2 linked regions of the Daphnia pulex genome follow. The protein of the gene in region 1 binds, or shares a complex with, the protein of each later gene. Links are inferred from orthologs where the notes say so. Each region holds a gene or a part of one and is shown on either strand. Other genes may lie near its edges. The genes, in order: polycomb protein Asx-like and mucin-5AC-like.

Region 1 (3,919 bases):
AACATATTGTATTTTACTTTGTTCTTACAGCCTTTATTCACGTTGTTGGAGATTTCGTTCAAAGTCTCGGCGTTTTCATTGCCGCAATAATAATTTTTTTCCAGGTTGGTTTTTGCCTTTTTGTCAACTGTCGAATATCATCGCTAATTCTGACTCATTTTTTTTTTTTATTTCATAGCCGGATTGGGCATTTATTGATCCTATCTGCACTTTTCTATTTTCGATCTTAGTTCTTTTCACTACGATCGCAATTTTAAAAGATGCGTTGACTGTTTTGATGGAGGGTAATAGTTGTAATTCTTTTTCAATTGATTTCATTTCATCTATTCAACTCTCATATTTTACAGGCTTGCCTCGGGGACTGGATTTTAATAGAGTACAGCACACGTTTTTGTCTATCGATGGTATTTCTACCAAATTTTGTAAGATTAAATGTGTGGTCTAATTTTTTTTTCTTCTGTTCATAAGGCGTGATTCGTGTACACAACCTTCGTATATGGGCTCTTACAATGGATAAAGTCGCCTTGTCCGCACATTTGGCCATTCGTAAGCAATAGTAACTTAACACTTGTTTTTCAACTAACTTTTAGTTTTTTTTTAGGGCGTGGGTCGAAGACTCAAGAAGTGTTAATACAAGCTTCGCAACTGGTGCGTTCTAAATTTAATGTGTTTGAAATGACGTTACAAATAGAGAAATTTGAGGCTGGAATGGAAGATTGTGTGCAGTGCCAAGATCCTGTAGATTGATTCTTTTATAGAAACTGTGTATTTGCAATCTCAAGTCCAAACTCCCTTCTGAGAATTGCATTTTCTTATATTTGCTCATATATTGGCCTCGAACATATTAAAGCCTTACAAACGATATGTTTGCTTTGTTCGCTATGTAATTGGTTTGCTGCATGAAGTTGAATAAAATAATTGTACTCTTTTATTTCGCTCGTCATAGTTGGGGCACAGACAACGAAGTATCCATGCGGTCATTCTCAATACTTGCCAAGTTAACACGCATAACATTAATACCCTTCTTTAATTCCTGTCGAGTAAAGATGAATAAACATTCTTAAATATGCTTTATCGTTAAATATACCTTAATTTCTGCTTGTTGTTTTGCAAGTCGTATTTTAGTTAAGACTAGATCTTTCCCCTGAGCAGCAGGAGGATAGGAGGAGTCACATTATTTTCCTCTAGAAAAAAAAACGTAAAGGGTTTAAGCAACCGTTTTTCACAACGGAAAGCCAGAAGCCTTCTACGTTAAGGTTGCTTAAACCGAAAATACGTTATACGAATTACGAATACGGAATACCGTTGTGAAAAACGGTTGCTTTTATTAAACCCTTTTACGTTATTACAGTAAAAGTTAAAACGCTTAAAGAGGCTGCAGTATGAATGAAGCCTTATGTCTAATAATGCTTTAAAGTATAATAATTACTTTAGTAAAATTTATAGGATTTTTTCAAAATAGAAAGTTGTCCGTTGTTTACAGTCTTTACCGCCATCTAGGAGCGCAATACAACATTGCGACAAACGAGACAAACACACAAAAATGGCCGACAGTTGAATTTTTTTTTTCATCAATGATCAATGAAAATTTTTGTTCAAATCTCAGTAAAAACTGTTAAACTACACTCGAGTTAGAGTGAAGGAGGTGCATAAAATATTTTTCGTAGTAACAACGTGAAACTTTTTCATGTAAGTTGAGTGTGAAAATTTTAAGTGACAAATTCATACATGTTCAATTGTTTTGTTTTTTTTTGTTGTTGTTATCACTAGATTTTCTAGTTGGCAAACGAAGAAATGTCTGAAAGCTTTGGAATTGACGTTAGTGTGGCTGATTCGATAAGCCCTGAGCCACGAATGCTGAAGAGACCAACATTGCAGTTAGCCTTGAAGCAGCAGGCTAAACGAAGAAGGAGGAACACAAGCATAGCTACACAAGGAAATGTGAATGGAATGCCACCTATCCCAAGAGTGATTGTTAAAGTGTTGCCTCCATTGCCTTTAAATGAACGGAACAAAGTGCATGAAGGTACTGAATCAGAAACTGAAGAAGTTCAACCCATAACTCCGAGAAATGCTTCAGTAAGTGTACCAACTCAGACAACCATGAGAGAAGTGCTGGCATCCATTCCTGGTTTTAAAACAACAAAAAGAACTACAAGAAATTTATCTGCTGCAGCTCAAATACAAAGAGCTCAAGAGGGTTGTGTTGATCTTCAAAATCCATCTTCAATTCTGGCCAAGGCAAATCTTCGTGGAATCCTTAACAAGCATACATTTGGGAGCTTACCCCCACTGTATCAACACAAACTTGTGCAATTGTTACCAGAGGTCGACAGATGTCCTGATGGCAGTTCAAAACTGAGTAGCACTGCCCTTAGCAACGAATTTTTTGGCCGTGCTTGTCAAAAGTGGAGAGATCGTCTTGCCGCGGGTGAATTTACCCCAGAATCCCAGCAGAAAATCAGAGCTGAAGCCGAGCGGGACAAGGGAAAGTTGGATCCATGGAAAGTAAAACATTTCGAACCGTTTTGGGGGACCAAAGGCGAATCCTCTTCTCAGGAGCTTTCTACCAGACTTCCTTCAAGTAGTAGAGCTTGTACAAGTGCAGCACCATCCAAAAAGAAATCGACCCCCTCAGACGTAGTTGATGAAGATGAAACTCCACCCAAGAAGCGCATGGGTGGTCGGAAAATAGGAAGAAGACGAATGAAACGAAAAAAACCAATCAGAAAAATTGTCATATCTACTCTATTGAATAGTGAAGACAAAACCCAAATTACTTCAGAAGAAGCTACGTTAGTTTCCGAAGAAATCTGCTCCAAAGATGTTATGTCGGTCGAATCCTGTGAGATAGCTGAGATGCAGCCTATCGAAATCATTGAGATAATCGAACCTGTTCACCCCTCTACCGACACAGATGAACCTGAAAGCGTTTCTGGGATTGAATTTGACTCTTCAAATGTTGAAAAGGAAGAAGTGTTCGCCTCAAACCCAACAGAAGAGAGCGACTGCGAAGAGCAGTCATCAGTCCAAGCGACACCATCAAATGACTCAATTATAGAGATTTCAAATCGTCTGGAGGAACCATCGTTAACTGCTCCTCAACCAGTAGAGATCAATATTGGTCAAGACAAATTTGATGGTGAAGAGTGGGATGGTACAAAAACCCTATCAGCGGAATCGAATAACCAAGTCGGGGAAAATGCTAATTTTGAAGTCCAGGAGATGTCCGCTGAAGTTCGTGCATCTGAGGAAGAAGACGTTTTGTGTCTCAGTAATCCTCCCACTATTAAGGACTCACTACCGTCCTCGGACACGGATGAAGAAAAGGAGTCCAAGGAACAAGATGTCGATGAACGACAAATGGAAATTGACGATAGCCAAGCATTAAATGAAATGAAAGATTTTCTTAGTAGCAGTGTAGGGCACTTTGTTCAGGAAGATTCGTCACCAGAAGATTTTTTCCAGAGTCATCAAGTGACGGAAGCTCTAGAGTTGTTGAGAGATATTCACGACAGGGAAGAGTCTGTACCTGTGATAGCTGAACAGCAAAAGATCTCGTCGCCAGAAAATGTAACAACTCATAAGCAAGATGAATTAGATTCAGCTGTAGCTGGACGTTCGTCGCAAGAACAGCAACAGATGATTGAGCCTTCCGCAACGGATATTCAAGATTCACTTGTGAAAACGACTTCCGTAGCTATTCCTGCACAACAACCAAAAGATTTATTGCCGAAAACAACCGAAGTACCCCTGGAAAACAGGACAGATGATTCTAACCGTAAATCCGAGCCTGCTATTTTGACTGGAACGACGCCGACAAATGTTTCCACGAAACCTGAAATACTAGAAAGTTCACTTCCACGAGTCAGTACTTCCGAAGCGACTCCTGTTGTAATCGAAACACAGAGTGTGGCGA
Region 2 (3,752 bases), on another chromosome or scaffold:
ACGACGACGACAACAAATGGGGAAAGAAAAGAAGAAGGAGCTAAAAATACAAGAGAAGAATACAGGAGAGAGAGGGAACTAGGAGGAGGATGCGACGGCGGTTTGATCGATCAATTGACCTCGACTTGATCATCAATAGAAAGAAAAAAAAAGAAGTCCTGGATTACGTTAGTGGGTTCGAGTCTGTCTAACCGCCCAGCTTTATTTTTCCTGTTTGGCCTTTTTTCGCTCTTATTCCTCTTTCTCTCTCTCCCCCCTTGTTGTACACACGTATGTCTCTCCGGCGTTTGTTAGTCGGGAAATAAGGAACACCCCGTGGGGAGTCTCTCTATTTTTCCTTATAACATACATACGCGCTGCACACCTGGTTGACGTCAGACTAGTACCTAAAAAAAATTAAATGAAAAAAAGAGACTGTTGGGTCTATAAGGGGAATACGTTGTGGGGCCGGCAGCCTTTTTTTTATAATTTCCAGTGCAAAGGGGGGCTGCTGCTGCTGTTGCAACTACTATTCCAGGTGTGGTTTAAACAACGAGGAACCCTGAAAAGGGCCCCAAGAAATTTTTCAAACTGAAAAAAAAAATTAGGGGGTCGAAATTGTGAGGGGGGAAATAATGATGGTACCTAGAGAAAAAACATTAAAAATGTATATAAAAATGTAGAGTAAAGAGAAGAATTCATTCGAGAACGATTACGAACTACCGGCGGCGGCTACCAACCCCAAACAACAACCCCCTCCGCATTTCCCATATCCCCTGGTTTTCTTTTAACCCCTGGACTACTACCACATCTACCTCTGGGAGGAAATTATTTTTAAATGTTTTGCCGCTTTAGTAGTCAGCTCCCTATTTTTTTGGGTGTCTGTTGTTGTATTTTTGATTCTCCCCCCTCTTAATCTATTTCGAGACCCGTTTTCCTCGGGGGTTGTAAAATGAAGAAAAAACGACTTTTTTTTTTCTCTTTCTTATTCTGGTTAACTGGTTTCACACGCCAGGATATTTTTCTTTCCTTTTTATTTTTTCCAGTTACGCCGAGCAAATGCGGAATTCCGTTGTGAACGTGTGTGACAGAGAGAAAGAGAGAAAAGGGGGGCAATTGTTGTTGCATCTAGGAAATTATGTATTCCGGATCTTGTCGTATAGCCGTCGAGGTTATAGACGACGAATGTCGTTTTTGTCTCCGGAAACAAGAACCGGATTGCGGTGGATGGATGGAAAGGTTCTTCTAACCCCTGGGTGTGTGTGTAGGGTGGGATGAGATGATTTCCCCCCTCTTTTTCAAGAATTCTGGGCTTGCATCCAGACATCTCAATTCAAAATGTTTTGTGTGTGTGTGTGTCTGTCTTGGATGTTTTTTGGTCTTCTTCTTCTTCGTCATCCCTTTCTCTCGCTTTCTCCCTTTCGCCCATCCTTCTCTCTCTCTCTCTCTTCCGGCTGGGCAACGAATCAATATCTCCTGCTGTGTGCTCTTGTGTCTGCGCGCGGCCGTCGTCGTCGTCGTAAAGCGTCGCTCAGGGAATGCTCAAGACTTGTCTTCCGGATTTATCGATCCGCACCAGAGTTTCTTCTTCTTCTCCTTTTTCTTATCACCCCACCCACTCGCCCACCCGATCCTCCTCCTCCCTCTAGACTCTTTAATCAACCGAATCAATCAAGACGTGATTACGACCTAAATGAATGGAATATTAGTGGCCGTTAATTTACGTTCAAATCTGTTTTTCTTTTTTTTTTCTTTTAGCCTTAATCGCATTCGTGATTTTAATTTCGTTTCGATGAAAATTCAATTATTATTTTTCTTTTTCCTTTGTTGCGTCGAATAGTCCGAGTGGCTGCCGATTGTCGTCGCTGGAGGACGCGGCCAACTACGTCCAGCGCGACGGAACCTGCAAGTGCGGACTGCCTTGTCCGCTCCGACTTCAGCACGTCTTTAATTTCGATCCGTCGGTGAGTTGTTCCTTCTAAAAAACAAAAAAAAACAAATGCCGCCATCTTTATCCTATTTATAAAAATCTCGAATGATCTCCGCGTTATTAAACTTTCTTTCTGTTGGCTATATCGGGTTTATGTATAATACTATAAGTTATAACAATCTTTTTCTGTGTTTCTTTCTTGGAACTGGTCTTTTGTATAATAACGCCGCCGTCTTCGGTTTCATCCTTTGCTCTCCCCACTCACCCCGAAATGAAGAATTTACCTAGATTTTTTCTTTTTTTTTCAAGTTTTGTTATCAAATTAAACCAGAAATTGTGTTGATTTATTTCTTAATTTTTTTTCCTGAATGTGTAGAGTAGAATTTCCCATTTTTTTTTCATTTGGAATTTTTCAAAATTTTTTACGTAGTTAATACAACAAAGAATTTCATCCTCTCCATAAAAAAATAAAATTATTTTTTCTTTTTTTTTTTTTTATTTGGTTGTAATCATCTTTTACGCACTCAAAGTATATTACTATCATTTATCGGTTTTTCGTGACTCTGAAGATTCTTTTTTATGATTGTCTTTTTTCCTTTTCTCCTTCCATCCCTGGGGCCCCCAACTACAACAACAACCGACCGTAACTGAATAACACCCGAATGCGCGGGAGATCTCTGATGGCGTCTCACGACGACATTTCGTGATTTCTTTAACAACAACAACAACAAAAATTGCGCAAAAAAATATAAATTCGAGATGGCGGCGTGCGCGCGCGCGCGTCCTTATTCCTTTGTTTCTTTCTTTCCTTTTCCATCCGGTTGGTGATGGTGTCGTGGCGGTCGGGAAAAAAAAAGACAAAATTGGTAAAGGCGAACGAAAAATTTGTTGGGTGGGTTGGGGGGGGGGTTTACGTGTGTGTGTCGTTTCGTTTTGGCCGCGGACGAAAAAGGAAATGGGAGAAAAGTTGATGAAATTACCGCAGCGATTTGATATCGACGCAGAGTGTCGTCTGCACGACACGGCGCGTGCGTGAATGTCTAGTTTCTTTCTTTTTTTCTTTTTTTTATTATTTTTTCACGACCGATAAAGAGGAGAAGAATGAAAAGAAAAGAACGTCCGGCATTTTATTGATCGCTTTTTTTTGGATTTTTTTCTTTTTCTTTTTTTCCCTCCTCCTTTCCTGTGTGTGTTCGTGTTTGCCCTGGTTGTGTGTTTGTCTTCAGGTGGCGTGCAAAGCCGAGACGTCACTGGACGCCCAGTCATCGACCTGCTGCCACAAACAGTCGCGAGATGTCAGCACGGACAAGGCGGCCCAGGCGACCACAGCGGCGGCAGCGGCGACGGTGACGACGGACAAGGCGGCGAAATCATCGGCCGTCAAACGAAAAAAGAGCGGAAATGCAATGAATAACAAGTCGGGCAAGACCACCAAGACTCTTCCGGTTATCCAGCCACAACAACAACAACAGCCACCCGCTCAGCAGTCTCAACAACAACAACAACCTTTGCTCTTTCGACGTTCTCCGTGTCCCAATGTGGACGTCAGGCAAATTCCGTTGGAGCAGAATCGGCCGCCGGCCGGCAGCCTCTTGCCGCAGGCTCGTTCCACTCAGCCGTCAACAACAACTGGGAACGGACCGACGTTTTTCGATGATCCCAACGCCTATTTGGCCCAGCAAACGGTCCTGTTGCAAAGTAGTTTGCAGAATGGCGGAAACAATTCGGTCCCTACGCCGCCACCTCCGTCGGAACCGCTTCCGGCCGCACCTGCACCACCGCCAGCTTCAACGACGACGACGACAGAAACGGCCGAAGCGGAGCAGACGCAAGAAGAATTGCT

Evidence for each region.
Region 2: polycomb protein Asx-like (region 1) and mucin-5AC-like share a complex: the UniProt entries of both Drosophila melanogaster proteins name them as parts of the polycomb repressive deubiquitinase (PR-DUB) complex. The link is inferred for Daphnia pulex from reciprocal best matches to the Drosophila melanogaster genes Asx and sba.

What each region holds. Positions count from the first base shown.
Region 1 is NC_060017.1:5,840,392-5,844,310, forward strand, and holds the start of polycomb protein Asx-like, read left to right. Parts: upstream 1-1,510; 5' UTR 1,511-1,689; intron 1,690-1,770; 5' UTR 1,771-1,794; coding exon 1,795-3,919. Other genes in the region: zinc transporter 2-like, read left to right, coding at 31-104, 179-284, 348-404, 469-546, 602-747. UniProt on the Drosophila melanogaster protein: Non-catalytic component of the polycomb repressive deubiquitinase (PR-DUB) complex, a complex that specifically mediates deubiquitination of histone H2A monoubiquitinated at 'Lys-119' (H2AK118ub1).
Region 2 is NC_060024.1:8,819,413-8,823,164, forward strand, and holds part of mucin-5AC-like, read left to right. Parts: intron 1-1,819; coding exon 1,820-1,943; intron 1,944-3,135; coding exon 3,136-3,752. UniProt on the Drosophila melanogaster protein: Non-catalytic component of the polycomb repressive deubiquitinase (PR-DUB) complex, a complex that specifically mediates deubiquitination of histone H2A monoubiquitinated at 'Lys-119' (H2AK118ub1). Important for maintaining stability of the PR-DUB complex.